Styela clava: one gene and its partner. The protein of the gene in region 1 interacts with the protein of each later gene in a pairwise test. Links are inferred from orthologs where the notes say so. Each region holds a gene or a part of one and is shown on either strand. Other genes may lie near its edges.

Region 1 (7,833 bases):
AGCTTCAAATAAACCAAACCTTTGTTTGCTTTCTGGTGCTCATTTTAGTATATTTTCGATATTTTTAATGTTATCAGAATTTAGGTTGTAGGCATAGGAACGCAACTAGCAGACTTCATCCCTTGAAATCTTATAAATAAAGACAACAATCTTTATAACTATTTTCAAACAAGTTTTATATTTAGTCTAGTAATCTACACTACAGAGTACAGAATATGTGATTCTACGGATAAAAAAAAACATCTAAGTAACTTTATATCAGTAAAAGATGGGGCAAATTGATTTGTTTATTTGAAGTAATTCATCCAATAATGGTCATCATATTAAACTGTTGTGAGGACAACAGCTCCTATGAATTCCAGGAACATTTACACTAAAGTTTGAGAAATTTGGTAAACGATACCAATTTTCGATTCTTAAATCACAAAAATTTTACACTGATATCAGTCTCCAATCTTGGGAAAACTGTGTGTCTTCAAAAACTTTTGATATTTACAATGCTTCTATTATGATGATAAGTATGATGAGCTTTTTTATTTTTTGTCAGAAATTTTGACTTCATCTCTTACTTTATTAAAGAGTTTAAAATTAAAATACATTTTTGGCTATGACTCCAATATTAAGGAAAACATACCAATCTTCAATTTCACAATCTTGAATCAAATCATATAGATACATATGAATTTCTATTTCAATTAGAAGGCCTAATCTATTAGCCAAAGCATTTACAACAAATCAAAAAAATTAGTTGACTTTGGATAATGTTTCCCAAATATCAACATGATAGCTTTCAATTAATGTCTTACACCGGGGAGGTTTTGTACAGTGGTGTAGAATCGATGATGTCTTCTTCATTCTCTGTTTCATTATCTTGTACATTATGTTGCCTCTCTCGATTTGATGTTGATGGTCCAGCATTTTCTTCCAGATTTATTCTTGTTTCATTTGTTGTACTTTGTCCGAATCTTTCTTTCATACTGTGTGCCATTTTTTTTTTATCTTTTCTTTTATTCCAACTTCAAGAATAGTATGATCAATTATCTGCAGGCCAGGATGATTTCGATCCTTTTGCTGAGGAAGAGTGCATGCAAGTATATGCTCTAGGGCAGTTGTCCCTCGGAGACTGTTGACACATGCAGTAACGAGAATTTCAGGGTTTTCTCCAATATCAAATTTCCTGACACCACATCCTACTTCACGCAGTCCTTCCTCAATTTCATTTTCTTCAGTTACAATGTATGAATTTAGTAATGTTACAAATATATCCCAGAGCTTATTGTCATATGCAAATCTTGCAATTTTTTTTGCTGTTTCATCCCAGTGAGTAAATAAGAGAGTTGAAAATTCCCGTTCGAGCATTGTGCATGCTAATACACATAGGAGAGGTTCCAATGGCTTTAATACTTTTTTTATATCTACTTCATTCTGCATTTGTAGACTCGCTTTTTCATGTACTTCCTCATTGATACTAAACTTACTTAAAAGTTCCTTCAGTGCTTCTTGACTTTTACTTGGCACAGGACCCCCTTCTTCGCTTTTAAGAATTAGAACTTTCAGCGATTCATAATCCTCATTACGGGTCCACATTTTGTTGTAAACTCACTCTACATACTCTGCTGCTCTGATGGTTTTATTGTCTAAACCAATAATAGGAGGAAAGGAGTACTTGTACTTAGAGTCGCAATGAATATATTTCGTTCTTCCATCTTTCATGCTTTTCAGTATAATCTTAGCCGCTTTGAAATATTTTTGATCAGATAAAGCATAGTACAAAATTGATCTGCCATCGTTATCCAATAAATCCAGATTTAGATCTTTCACAAAATTTTCACATTCATCTGTCTCTTCGAATTGATTTATAATGACAACTGTTAAAAAGCCATCTCTGTTTATTTTTGCAATATTCATTAGTTTTTTAGTATGTGGATTAGTAATTTTCAATTTTATATTTTGAAGATATTTCTCTGCAGTGTTTGCTGTTATCTTTCTTTCGCTTAATTTTTGTTCTACTTTTTCCAATATTTTCCAGTCTTCAAGATCGTTCGTGATGGAAAACAATTCAATATTTTTCTTTTTGTCAAGTGTTATGGCATCTGTATAGTGTCTAGCCGATTCTTTCAATGATTCGTCAGAAAACCAGAGTTTAACGATCTCACAAAATTTTCCAGAGCGTCCAAGATTCCCAGAAGCGAATCATAAATGTTATAAAGGGGAATGCTTTCTTTGCATAAGTTCTTAAAATTTGTATATTTTTAAAGTAATTCTCGGGGCTGTCATGTTCAGCATTCCCAGCTGTAGTTTCTTCTATTGTGAGGGGTTCTAGAAAATAGCTGTTTTGGTCAAATCTAGGGACTGCCTTATGTAAATATCTCATTTTGCACATTCCCACTATAACAAACACGAGTTGTAGCATGGTAGATGCTTAAAACCCCACCCAATAAGGAATAAGTTGTTTTGCAGTATTGTGTGAGCAAAAATAAGGTACCGGACTCCCTTCACCAGTCATTTCCAAATAGTCTAATTGAAACGGATTGCAGTGAAATGTGTTGCCATCTTTAGCCAAGAAACATACTAGTAATCCTGATATACCTATTGATAAGACGATAGCGGCAAGAAGAATCCTATTTCTTTTGTAATAAACATGTTTGATAAAAATATCGCATTCATATAAGAGTAATAAGGGCCAAGCCTCTCTCACGATGCAGTCAGACATTCTGGATAAAGGTTCTTCAACAGAGGATTGCAGTTTGTCATTTTCATCGGATAATCCTTCAATTAGCTGTTCTGCTTTTTTGAAAGTGTTGAATGAATTTATAACTCCAGGTATCTGAAGCCAATAGGCAGAAGCAATCAAAACCAGCAAGATGGAAGACAGGCCGAGAAAACCAGAATAAGTCACAAACCATGGTATCTGGTTCATACAATAGTTGTTCATTATAGCAGCATCAAGAGAGGTGCCATTTTGTACCGTCGGAACACATTTTATTTTTATAGTTTGTGTCAAATAAAACATAAAAAGGGTGGTTGCCACACTGCCTGCATAAAAATATCCTCTGATTTTTTCCCACCATGGTTTCATGTTATGTTCAGTAAGCAGATCACCCAAAAGAAAGTCACTGATTCCAAGAATTGACATTTTCAAGATTCAGTAATTCTGCGTATAAATATATTAAAAAAAATTATATGCTGAATCATTTACGTTGACACAAAAGCTTATGACATTTGCCTGAGGTTTATAAAATTTTTCTTATAGGAACGGTCAAAACTATATGGAAGATATTATAAAAAATTGAATATATTATGATTTGAATCTACTCTAACTCTGATGTACATGTTAAGGAAATTAATTTCCATCACTTGGTATTTTGCCACTAAAATTTATTACTGAATCAATCCCGTATTTTTCAGGTAATTATTTAAATACAGTCGAAAAACATTGTAGGAGTTTAGATATTTTCATCTCATTCTCTTAATCCTTGTCATGGGTTTGGATCACAGTTAACTATATTTGTATAACTCTTATATTCATTGCTTTACATCATATTTTTCATCAGTCATACTCAAAATCTCTAAATTTCACCTAAATTTTTTTACAACCCTAATCCTGCTTTTTGAAATAATATCTTTTGTGCTATATTGTTTTTGTGACAAATCGGTAATTATCCTTTCCTCTATGTACAATTAAACATTTGGAATCATGGTATATTCTGCAAGTATAATTTATCTCCATTGCTTTACATACCGGTAGTATTTTTCATCAGTAGTACTCAAAATCTAGTAATTTCAACTAAAATATTTTGCAATCCTAGGACTGCTTTCTAAAATACTTTCATGCATGCTATACTTCAAATCAATTTTAGATTGAGAGTTCTATATTAGGTGCATAGAATATATGTGAGAAAACCTCCTCGATATCAGTCAAGCAATAAAAACGTTTTTGTTGATTGTTATGGACTTCTGATTTCTAAAGAGAACTCTGTTATCAAAATCCTGTGGCTCGGTACACACCTTATATCGCACCCACTTTTTGCATCCATGGTTGAATCGAATATGTGGAAAAAATAACTCAATATCAATCAAGCGAAGTAAAAATTTCTGTTGAATGTCATTGTTTTTTGATTTCTGAAGAGTACTCTATTATCATAATTCTCAACTCGGGTCACATAAAAATGACCTAAAACCTGCGTCGCACCCACTTTTTGCATCGTTGATTTAAGCGCTAAATTCCATTTCAAAATTCCTTCTTGTTTTTATATAAAAATGGTTACATTTCTAAAACACAGGTTATAATATTTACTGAAAACGATCACCACTATTATAATGTACAAATTTTTTGATATTGAATCAATTTTGATACCACTCACACTTTGTACATTTAATTGTGAACGCCCAATGTTATTTGTATCTTTTTGTTGTTTTCAAGAAGAGTAGCAAATATAAATTGGGACTGTTTTCTAATAATAACATTTTATCTTATTTTTAAACAAGGATGTGGACAATTGTTCACGATAGCTGGGAGTTGAAAAATTTTCTTCATTGTTCTGGCATAGTCCACCGGTTATGGTTTTACTTGGGTTGTGTTTTGAGATTATTTGTGTGTTTGCATTAAACAAGGCTTCAAATGAAGAGCCACTTTTTCACATGTTATCATTTTTTCCATCACAGTGCTCTGGTGGTAATTCTGACTGGTAACTGGTAATATTTAATGTGCAATGTTGTATGTTTTCTCTCCTTCAGAATGAATGTGAATTTCCATCTTATTTGATGTCACACAACCAGCAAAATTTTAATATTTTTACTTTTTGCTTTTCAGGGGGTGCTCACACTATGTAATATAGGATAATATTTATATTCCAAATTAGAATTCTTTTCTTGAAGTCTGATTTTAAGTAAAATGTCCAACACATTAGAAAATGAATCTGAAGTTTTACGAGAAGTACCCGATGCTTTGCAGAGACTTATCAGGTTAATATTACTTAACTTTTTCAATTATCAGTTGCGTTACACAAGAATATCTACTTTTTCTTACGCTATACCTTTGCGTAAGTGGATTCATAATGCAAAGCTGCTCTGGAGTCTTGCTGTACACTAACACGAATGTAAAAATGTTACATTTGTGTTAGTCTACATCTAGACTCATGGAATTCAAACTATTTTCAAGTGTGGAAAAGTGGGACACATTATTTATTTCTCAGAGCTATACCTTCAGCTTCATGATCTTATATATTTTGTCTTCAGATATGTTGCAAGAGGATTCTATGGACTTGAACACGGCCTAGTTATCGACGTACTTGTTCGAAACGCATGTGTGAAGGAAGATGACATCCAAGTTGGTCATGTTTTTTACGAGTTACATACTTTTGTTTTTAATTAATCCTATATAGAAAGAATATAGATGTAAGGACTAGAGACTTTCTAATTTCATGAGGTCCAGTTTTTTTTTTACTCTTACGGAAGAGGGGGGGAGTGGGTTCAAACTTGCCACTTTCGACCCGTCAGTGTATTTGTGAAGGTATTCTGAACAATAATGATGATTCATCGAAAGTTGAGCCATCAGCATTCATCAATAGAAAAAAAGATTGTTTTTATGGCAACTCAATTTGGCACTCTCATATATAGGCTAATCCTTTTGTCCTTATTGATAAATTTTTCGGATTTTCATTAGTTGCACACTTGATTGGTCAAAATATACTAAGTAGTGCATAAATCGTTATATATTCCATTAATGTGATATTTGTGTCGGTGAACAAAGTTTTTTTGGGCTTTTTACTGACAACTCTGAATTTTACAATTAGAAATTTTTTTTTTAGATTTTAGATTAAGCTATCGGGGTCATCAAAATTTGTATACTGTGTTTGAAAAGTGATTATTTTTCTTTCAGGAACTTTTGAAAATGGACAAGAAACAACTACGAGCAATGTTGGTTTTTCTGAAGAATGATAAAATTTTGAAAGCAAGACTTTGCGTTGAAACTCAAGTAAAGATGATAAATAGCAATCTTGTTATTATAGGTTAAAGTGTGATATAGTGAGATTATATACCTTTCCATAGTAGGTAACTTAAAAATCATTTGCTTAGAATATATCGCGTAGAGCAGTGCTTAACAACGTGCGCAATATTGCTTCTTATGGGGGAAAAACCTGAAGGGGTGATATCGCATACTTAAAATAGTCCGAATTAACACAAAATCAAAATGAAATTCACAAACCATAGGCAGGATATATTTTTGGCAGTCATTTGACAACCCGCCTACCCAATTTAATACACCCAATGTGAGGTGTTGGGTACGGGATTACACTGAGATCTTGAACCTGTGATGCAGGCATAGTTCATTCATTCCAATGCTTCAGCCTTGGTCAGGGGTCAATGAACGAATGCAAAAAATGGTTGCATTCCACTAAAAAGGATTAAATAATTACACTTATTTTATTATAATTTATGCAGCCGCATCCGGGGATGTTTGAGAACCCAACACTAGGCCATTGTGCAATACAAATCGAGTTAATCATCTAACTGTTGTGTAAACATAAAATTATTTTTGTAAATCTTTGTTTTACAGCCAGATGGGAATGTACTTCGTCACAATTATTATTATATAAATTATAGAAGCATTTGCAACATTATTAAATATAAGGTAAATATTCTCAATTTCATTTATTTTAGATTACTTTATGTGTTATTATACATGTTATTTCAGACTAGCAAAAGTATCATTATGTAATTTTTAGCAAGTGAATTGTTTCTTTCTGGTCTTTTCGTTGAAAATTTTTTTTAATATAATGTTAAATATGTGTTGGTACTAAGACTGAAGTACTAAGACTAAGGGATTTGACGAAAAGGGAGGCGATATTTACTTTTTTGAAAAAACGGGGAGCTAATATAGTGTTTCTGCAAGAGACTCACTGTTCTGGTAAAATTGAAAATGAATCATGGTCAAAAGAGTGGGGTAGTCAATGTTTATGGACTGAATATTCCAATACCTGCAATGGGGTAGGGATCTTGATCTTGATTTCTTCAAATTTAGATATATCTTTAGGCAATATAGATATAGATGAAAATGGCCAATATATTATATGTTCATTTGAATACGATAGTTTTTTAACAATAGTAGTGAACGTTTATGCTCCAAACCTTGATTCTCAAAGGGTCAAGTTGTTCAAACTTATATATGAAAAACTAGAAACCCTGAAAGCTTCAAATTATGCATACACATGCAATTTTATATGTGGTGGTGATTTTAATTGTATTTTGGAAGATAGGGATAGGGATTCCGTCAAATGTAGAAGAAATAATAATTCCAAAAGTGAAAAAATGCTCCAAAATATTGTTACTAAATTGGATTTGATTGATATTTGGCGTGAAAGGCACTCATCCCTTTTACAATTTTCATTTCATCGCCCAGCAACCAGAAACGGGCAAAAACAATCCAAAAGCAGAATAGACAGATGGTATCTTTCGCGATTATATACTGTCAATGTAGAAAAAGTTGAAATAATTGCAGCAGCATTATCGGATCACTTACCTGTCTTTATGTGGACAGATATAGGCGAGAATATCAAACGTGGGAAAGGTTATTGGAAATTTAATAGCAACTTATTAAATTATGATTTATTTGTCACAGGGGTAGAAGTTATATTAAAGAAATGGCTAAAGCAATTAAATGAAGGACATGAAATTGATGTTCTTAAATTTTGGGAAAATTGTAAAAGAAAAATTAAGGAGTGGTCTATATATAGCGGAGAAAAGTTAGCTAAGGAAAATAGGAATATAGAAAAACAATTAATAAAAACTTATGAAGAAGCATTGTTCAAATATGAGGAAGATCAATACGAT
Region 2 (7,669 bases), on another chromosome or scaffold:
ACTCTGGGATAACAACCAGATCAAACAATGACAAAGTATAATATTGTGATTTGTGAATATTTGACAGAATTCAATAATCACAGATTGCAAAAAATATTTACGAAAAACTCAAACAAAAAGCACTTACGGTAATTCTATTTTATTCTTAACTCAATATTATTAAAAATATTTTTAATTATAATACCTCAAGTGAATAGCAGCTGACACACTGTAGTAGACCTTATAATACATTTTTGGCAATGCATATGACTCGTACACACTAGCATCTGCCAAATCTCTCATTCCTGCGGCATCAACAATGTTTCTGTGAAATGAGAGAAATACAAAAGGTTAATAAATATATGAAGTTTACAATTCAACATGTTTCCATAACAAAATAGAGTAATCGTAGAATGTATGTTTAATAAATTACACCAGTTTTTCGAATACATTATTAATAAATGGATTCATTTCCTATACAAGAGTTTAACAGAGTACTTTAGTACCACAAATTCTTCTAATCCGTGTGGCATAACCATTTATGACTATGTTATCACCAACCCCATCTAACTACGTCATCCAAAAACGTCTGGGCTGACAGTGTCCAACTCACTAACGCCAGTGGCCTCTCTCATATTGGAATCACTATAACGACAAAATGAGAGAGTATCCCTTTGTATACGATGTTGCTTGCTTGATTTCAAGTGATCGTTTGCGTGTTTTGGCCGACTGTCCATATATTATGGCGGACCCTTTTTACTGCACTGTGACATAATTTGTGGATGATATAGTAAGGTGAGGGTTAGAAATGTCATACGCAAATATCGTTAGACTACACCAGGAGTTTGACAAATTAAAAGGCACAGCTATTCTGCTAACTTGCTATGAGTTTAGGTCACTGTCTACAGACAATTGAAAATATACCACATTTTGTTTTTTGCTTATAAAATCAGAATTGCTTCATTTACAATACTCTATATCAGTGTTTCCCAACCCGAGTCCGCGGTCTCAAATGAGTCCGCAGAGCGTTTGAATGAGTCCGCAATGAGCCAAAAATTCACTTCGGGCAGCAAACGTTTTTGCGAAACTCAACTATCAGCCAAGTTACGATTTACGTCAGAATTTACATAAAACAAAAAAAGCAAGTTTATTAACATAACATTAATCGAGTCAATAATTACTGGTTACTGAGTAGGACTGATCATATATTCAAAAATTTGACAACGCGAAGGTCGCCTGCGCGTCGCCTAATCAAACGATCGGATTTCACAACTCCCTTGCGGATTTCCGACAAAAACACGAGAGTGCACAAGCTTCGATAGATATCTAAATGAAGTTTCGCGAGTTCGAATAACGAGGAATAAATTTTTTTTTTCTGATGATAAGATAAGTGTCAATGGTGGCAACCCGAATTTTCTAAATTGAAAATCGGCAATACTAAAAATAAAACGGAGAACACCTTAAATTTTGTTTTATGATGGTCCGCGACCAATTAAAAACGCTTTTTTAAACATTACGAATCGCAAAAGTTCGGGTGCTACCGTAGTATACGTACCAGGGCATTTTCCCTTAGGATTCTTTGCTTTACTGCCTCCACATTGGTACGTACAGTACTGGAGCACCGTAAGTGTTGTACGAACAGCTCAGATTTGTCGAATTTACAAAAATAAGAATCAAAACAAAATATAATCAAGCACTTTACCACGCATTGTCATGATATTTTCTGAGTAGCATTGCTTTTATTTCGACAACAAAACTGCAGATTAAAATGATCACAACTGGATTAATTTTAAAGCAAGACGATGAATATGTATTTTTAATAAGTACTAAATCAAGTTGTACTTTCTGGAAATTTATAGCAGATAGTAGGATTTTTCTAACGACGATAACAAATTCGCAAGCTCGCAAAAAATATAATCGGGCAATATTATATATTCTCACATTATTATAGTCACAGATTGCCCTGCCATTTTAAGGAAGTAATGCTTTCATCTTGTCGTAAGTCGACGCAACCGCGAGTTACCATGAACACAATCAAATTAAAATAGGACATTTTAAATTCACGTCGTTGTGATAGATTGATATTGTGTGACAGAAAAAGCCATTATACACTAAAAAAATCGTCTCTTAACGAACGTGTAATTGCGGCGAATTCCCGATTTTAAAATTCTGTTGTAATTGGTTTTATTGCTTTTTCACACAGAGTACGGTTGCAATAAACGCACAATGAGTCCGCAAAGGTTTTCGCCGGTGAGAAAATAGTCCGCAACCAGAAAAGGTTGGGAAACGCTGCTCTATATGAAAAACAGTCATAGCTCAATAACTTTATTCGTAAATTACAGATGTACGAGTGAATTTACGAAGTTTTCAATTCTGTTGGTATAACGTAACAAGGTCTATTTCACATAATCATGGCACATATTGGTCAAAAGAAGGAGGCTAGTTCACCAAACGCAGTCAAGTACTTCTAGTTGGCGTGACATAACCATCTTCGCATATGTCATTTCTAATTTCACATGACTTTGTCATCCAAAAATTACGTCACTGCAACATTACATTGCCGAAATATGGCCCATCAAAGTATACGAAATGTCGTCCAAAACGTGTGTATCTTCTGTGTATTAATTACTTTTTGAGTGGAATCCAATGGTGACATTTTTAGATTGCGCTTCCTTTTAGTTTATTGCACATTGCCGATATGGAGGCCCAGACTTTCTCATAAAGCATAGGTTGGCAATCACCGTTATAAATGTCTTTAAATGTGGGGGGTATTCTTGGAACCGGAGAACTGTGTCATATTAACTAATGACAAATTGCTGCATTGAAATAGATTTGGGTATCGTTTTCTTTAACGCAAAGGGGGATCCTACATGGAAACAGCCAGATTTCAATAATCGCAGAGCTGAAAAGATCAGATCAGTAAATTAGAGCACAATACCTGATGATGTATTTCTTGATTGCCTTGTCTTTAGGAACACGGGCTCCTGATGATTCGCATCTAACATATTTTACATGCCCTCTGCCTTTTTTGTTACGTCCATTATTTCGCCGTTTCAACGTCATGGTGCTGAGTGTTCTGAAATACATAAACCAATATATACTTTCGCTTGATACGAATATTCTAAAAAATCTAAGCTATCTTTCATTCCACAAAAGATTATTCTTTTAAAATAAACCATCCTGTACTCGATTTTATAACAAACAAAGCAATCCACTAATAAAATAGATCTATTACAACGGATATAATTCACCTTGTCGAAAACCAACCAAATGGCCGAAGTGGTGCTGAAAAGAGGACTTCATTCTATTTTTCTTTGCGCAAATAATTCTCCACAAGATGTCACTCTTACTCCGCGCCAGGTCTAATTTGTTGGATTGAAAGTGAGCGATTGACCAATTCCATAAACAATTCTTGGAACAATTCATTTCCTAGTTGACTAGTAGTAAATCGGTACCGTGCCGACTGCCGAAATTCGCTATCGTTGGCGAATTGAATGTTTGTGTAGTGTAGTCTATAATGCACCATTGTCAGAAGTTGGATACTTTTAGGCAACGACAATTACCGTACCAAATTGACGTTAAATACCGTTTAATATTAATTATATGAACATGATGTATTTTGAGTTGTTGCTAGTGAGTTTTGAATAAAACTTTGATCGACATGATAAATTGTGTCCAGAAATTATGTTCCATTAGTGTGTTAGTACATTGCTCTTTCCACATTCCAACTGAGGTGGAACCCCTTGGAAGTCCCAATGCGGGCTCTCTGGCTATCCGAGAAAAGTGATTTTATTTACATGAAATGTGAGATCCACCGAGTCCTTGAAAAAAATGAGTCAAGATTTTCCCTACATTGTTATCCAGTATTAGACAAACACAGAATTATCAGTTGAAACACAATCACAGCAGAAATATATAACGACTAATTAGATGCACACATAAAAAAATATAGGAATATGATAAAGCCAGTGAAATATTGTTACCAATATTTTAAAGGAATCGTCAAAATGTGTGCCATCAACCTGCTCTGTCTGTCTGTAGTAATTTCAACAAATATAAACACAACATGATTTTTTTAAATGGTTATTTTTTGAGCAGAAAGCAATATGAATGTTTTGAATAACTATTTTAAGAGTAAAATCAATGAATTAAAAAGTTCATTTTTCCACTCTCCAATAAATTCATATCAAAATAAACTAGATTGTGAATAAAACCAAGTAAAATATGAATTCATACAAAATTATTTTGAACAGTTATTGTTGATTTGGACTTTGTTGTATTTGACCTGAGATTGGCTCGTTTCGCACAATTCTGTACCTTATATTTATGTGTCACAGAATTATTAAAATAACTTTATCAAAACATTCTAAAGTTTTATAAATTCTTTGAAAAGATGATTGTTGCGTGCTTTAATATTGGATTTTTATTTACTCGGTTTTGCAAAAAATTTGCACTTGAAAGTACACGACACATTCCTCCTTTAAACCCTTGTATTAATTAATATGGAGTGTTATATGTGATTGCTGGACTGTAGTTTCAGATTATTATTCAAGGATATCACATTGCTGTCTGTATAAGTGATTTTGATTCCTTAAATTAGAAAGTCATTCTAATAATAATATAAATGACTCAATCCTTCTTGTAAGTTGTATTATTGTATATACCACTTCTCTTAAAAATTGTTTGCAATTGTATAAGTTCAAGTGGCCTGTTGTATTTTATATTAATTTTTTTTTAATTTACTGATTTAGAAATATGGATGCTAGTCTTTTACGTCAAAGAGAGGAGTTTAATAAGCGTGCGCTTGCACGACCTGTCATAGAGAAGAGAAAACATCAGAGTGAGGCAGTCAACAATGACACTTCTGCAGCCAGTGCAAAGAAAAAGCCTAAAAAATTACAACGGCCGACGTCAGATAGTAACTCGGTCAAGTCTATATCATCATATAGCAGTAGGGCAGGTATAGGAGGTTCAAAATTCGGAAACCTCGCTCAAATTGTGAACTTTATGAAATCGAGACATCAAGAAGATGATATGTTCCCACTTACGATTGATGAAATATTGGAGGAATGCAAGCTTGAAGATATTATAACGCCAGTACAGAAAAACTGGCTGATAAATGAAGCATTACCAAATAATCCGAAAATACAAGTCGTCGACAATCCGGGCCAGGAACGAAAATACGCTTTCAAACCGAAGTATAACATTCGTGATAAAAAATCACTTCTGAAATTATTGGATAGATATGATCAGCGTGGTCTAGGTGGAATTATGCGTTTCGAAGTAGAAGAAAGTTTACCAAATGCAAAGCGTTGTCTAAAGGCTTTAGGAAATAAAATCATTTATATAACGAGGCCTGATAAAAAGGAAGTTTTGTTTTACAATGATAAAAGCTGTGAGTTTCAAGTCGACGAAGAATTTCAAAAGTTGTGGAGAAGTGTTGCTATTGAATCAATGGATGAAACTAAAATTGAAGAGTACCTTAATCAACAGGGTATGTCTTCTGTACAAGACACAAGGACAAAGCTCAAGCCAGCACAGCCTCGTAAAAGGGCAAATAACAGAAAGCGCAAATTTAAAAGACATAATGATCATATTATAGCTGGTGTTTTAGAAGATTATTCTGAAAAACAGAAATGATATTTTTAATTGATCTATGTATAGGCAATGTATTCTGCAACGACTGTGCTTATTTTTAATAGCAATCGACTAAGATGCAAGCTATATGCAAATCAAATGTAATTTGCTCAAAGTCAATTCAATATAATACCTTTTGCTTGTAGGATTCTATTTGAATAATGTTCGTTTGGAAGTTTTGACAAAATTATGACTAAATTACCATTATACACACTATGAAAAACTGACTGCAGACAAGACTTGAAAACCAGTCAAACCTAATGTTTTTAATATTTTTGATTCTCACTAATCTGTTCAAAAATGTTTCTATCAAAGTTGTTTATGTACTTCATGGATGACTTTAATTACCACATAATTGAACTTTATGATTTTTTTCAGAATGTATTGATTTTTTTTTGCTCCCTAAGGACTAGGTCTGCAGCTTGTAAATTTATCTATTTGTTCTCAGCCTTCTCAAATTGTCTTTCGACTTAATTTGTTTCGACTTGTTGCGAAATGCTTTCTACCTACAAATTTGTGCACCCACCTTACTTTTTATTATCTAAGGCAGTGTTTCCCAACCTATGGGTCACGACCCACGACTGAGTCTCCTGAACATTTTTATGGGTAGCTTGTTTTTTCAACGAAAATCTAAAAGTTACCAATTTTCAATTTCTAGTGAATTTTATTGTTTGTTTTATATTTGTAATTGAAGTGTCGCTCAATAGTAATTGTATACGTGGGAAGTATCACATTGCAAAAACTTTGCAGCATTTGTTTTGTTTAAGTAGAGCTACCCCACGACCTCACTGGGGCAAACTAACGCAGCTTTCTCACTTAGTCATGTTTTTTATTAGTCATTGAATTTTGCGGCCATAAAAGTATTACATGCCAATGAGTATTTGAACATATCCTTGGGTCGCGAGATTTTAGGAAATTAATTTTTTTTAGAAAATTTGGGTTGCTTGAAAAAATGTTGGGAACCACTGATCCAATGTACCAGGTGTTGTTCTAAATTTTGCGCTCACGAACCATTCTTTGTGCATCACTGGCTACACTGATAAGAATATAATCATGCAACACCTCCTTTTTAATTCTTGAAAGAATATAGTACCACCACACTCTTGTATGTATCAATTTAGAAAATTGGCATGATATTTTTTTAATGAATTTCTCATAGTCCTATTACAATTTCAATTTTGGTATGAAGTCATCTCTTTATATATCCTAATCAGGCTTGTTCTATTCTAATAACTGTGTATTCAAGTCTTTGTTTCACCTCATTTTATACACACCTGTGGGCACCAACAAACTACATTTATGGGGTATCGACAAATTAATTTCTTTCTCAATTTAAAATACCGATAATTTAGGACTTTGTTCCTAATATCAGAATGCAAAATATGTTATGGAATTTATATTTCAATATGGAAATGTTCTTGGTTGTACTACACCAAGATTCAAGATTTGTAATTTTATTCTAATTATTCATTTTCCAATAGCTGCCAGGCTCTCTCTATTCTAATATTTGCATACATTGTGTATCCATATCTTTAATTCATTTTTTTCAAGCATTTCTGGTCAGGTATTTACATGAGTCTATTGGGAGTATGAGATGTCGTTTCCTAAATGGAGATAATCATTAGCTTACTTAGTTTAAAAGCAAATTTATGAACTTTGTTGAAAGTTGGATTTATCACCATCATGCCTGGAATGATTGCCTTCAAAAGAAGATGGGGAACGGGAAGCGACGATCTTGTGGTTCCTGGAATGTTACTATTCCTCATGCATCTTATATTGTAAGTCGATATTTACGTTTATTTTTTCGATTTACCGGTATGTGATATAGAAAAAATATCTAAAGACTTAGCAAATAGGAATAATATTTTGGTCGAAATGACGCTGACATATAAAAAAATGCTGGAAATGGGATAGATAATCCCATTTTTCCCAAATATGTATTTATTTTTATTTTTTGCTCTGAAAATACCTTGCGCAATAATCCACTGATATGTAAGGAGTTTCTATAACTGACATTGGCATTGCCTATCCAATTTATTACACCTTTGGGTGT

Evidence for each region.
Region 2: the proteins of general transcription factor IIE subunit 1-like (region 1) and general transcription factor IIE subunit 2-like interact in a two-hybrid assay, tested with the Drosophila melanogaster proteins (2 studies listed by BioGRID). The link is inferred for Styela clava from reciprocal best matches to the Drosophila melanogaster genes TfIIEalpha and TfIIEbeta.

Annotation. Positions count from the first base shown.
Region 1 is NC_135250.1:24,568,070-24,575,902, reverse strand, and holds the start of general transcription factor IIE subunit 1-like, read left to right. Parts: upstream 1-4,813; 5' UTR 4,814-4,894; coding exon 4,895-4,965; intron 4,966-5,238; coding exon 5,239-5,329; intron 5,330-5,881; coding exon 5,882-5,977; intron 5,978-6,559; coding exon 6,560-6,634; intron 6,635-7,833.
Region 2 is NC_135255.1:3,758,494-3,766,162, forward strand, and holds general transcription factor IIE subunit 2-like, read left to right. Parts: upstream 1-4,709; 5' UTR 4,710-4,734; coding exon 4,735-5,619; 3' UTR 5,620-7,167; downstream 7,168-7,669. Other genes in the region: small ribosomal subunit protein eS26-like, read right to left, coding at 185-304, 2,918-3,042; diacylglycerol lipase-alpha-like, read left to right, coding at 7,300-7,394.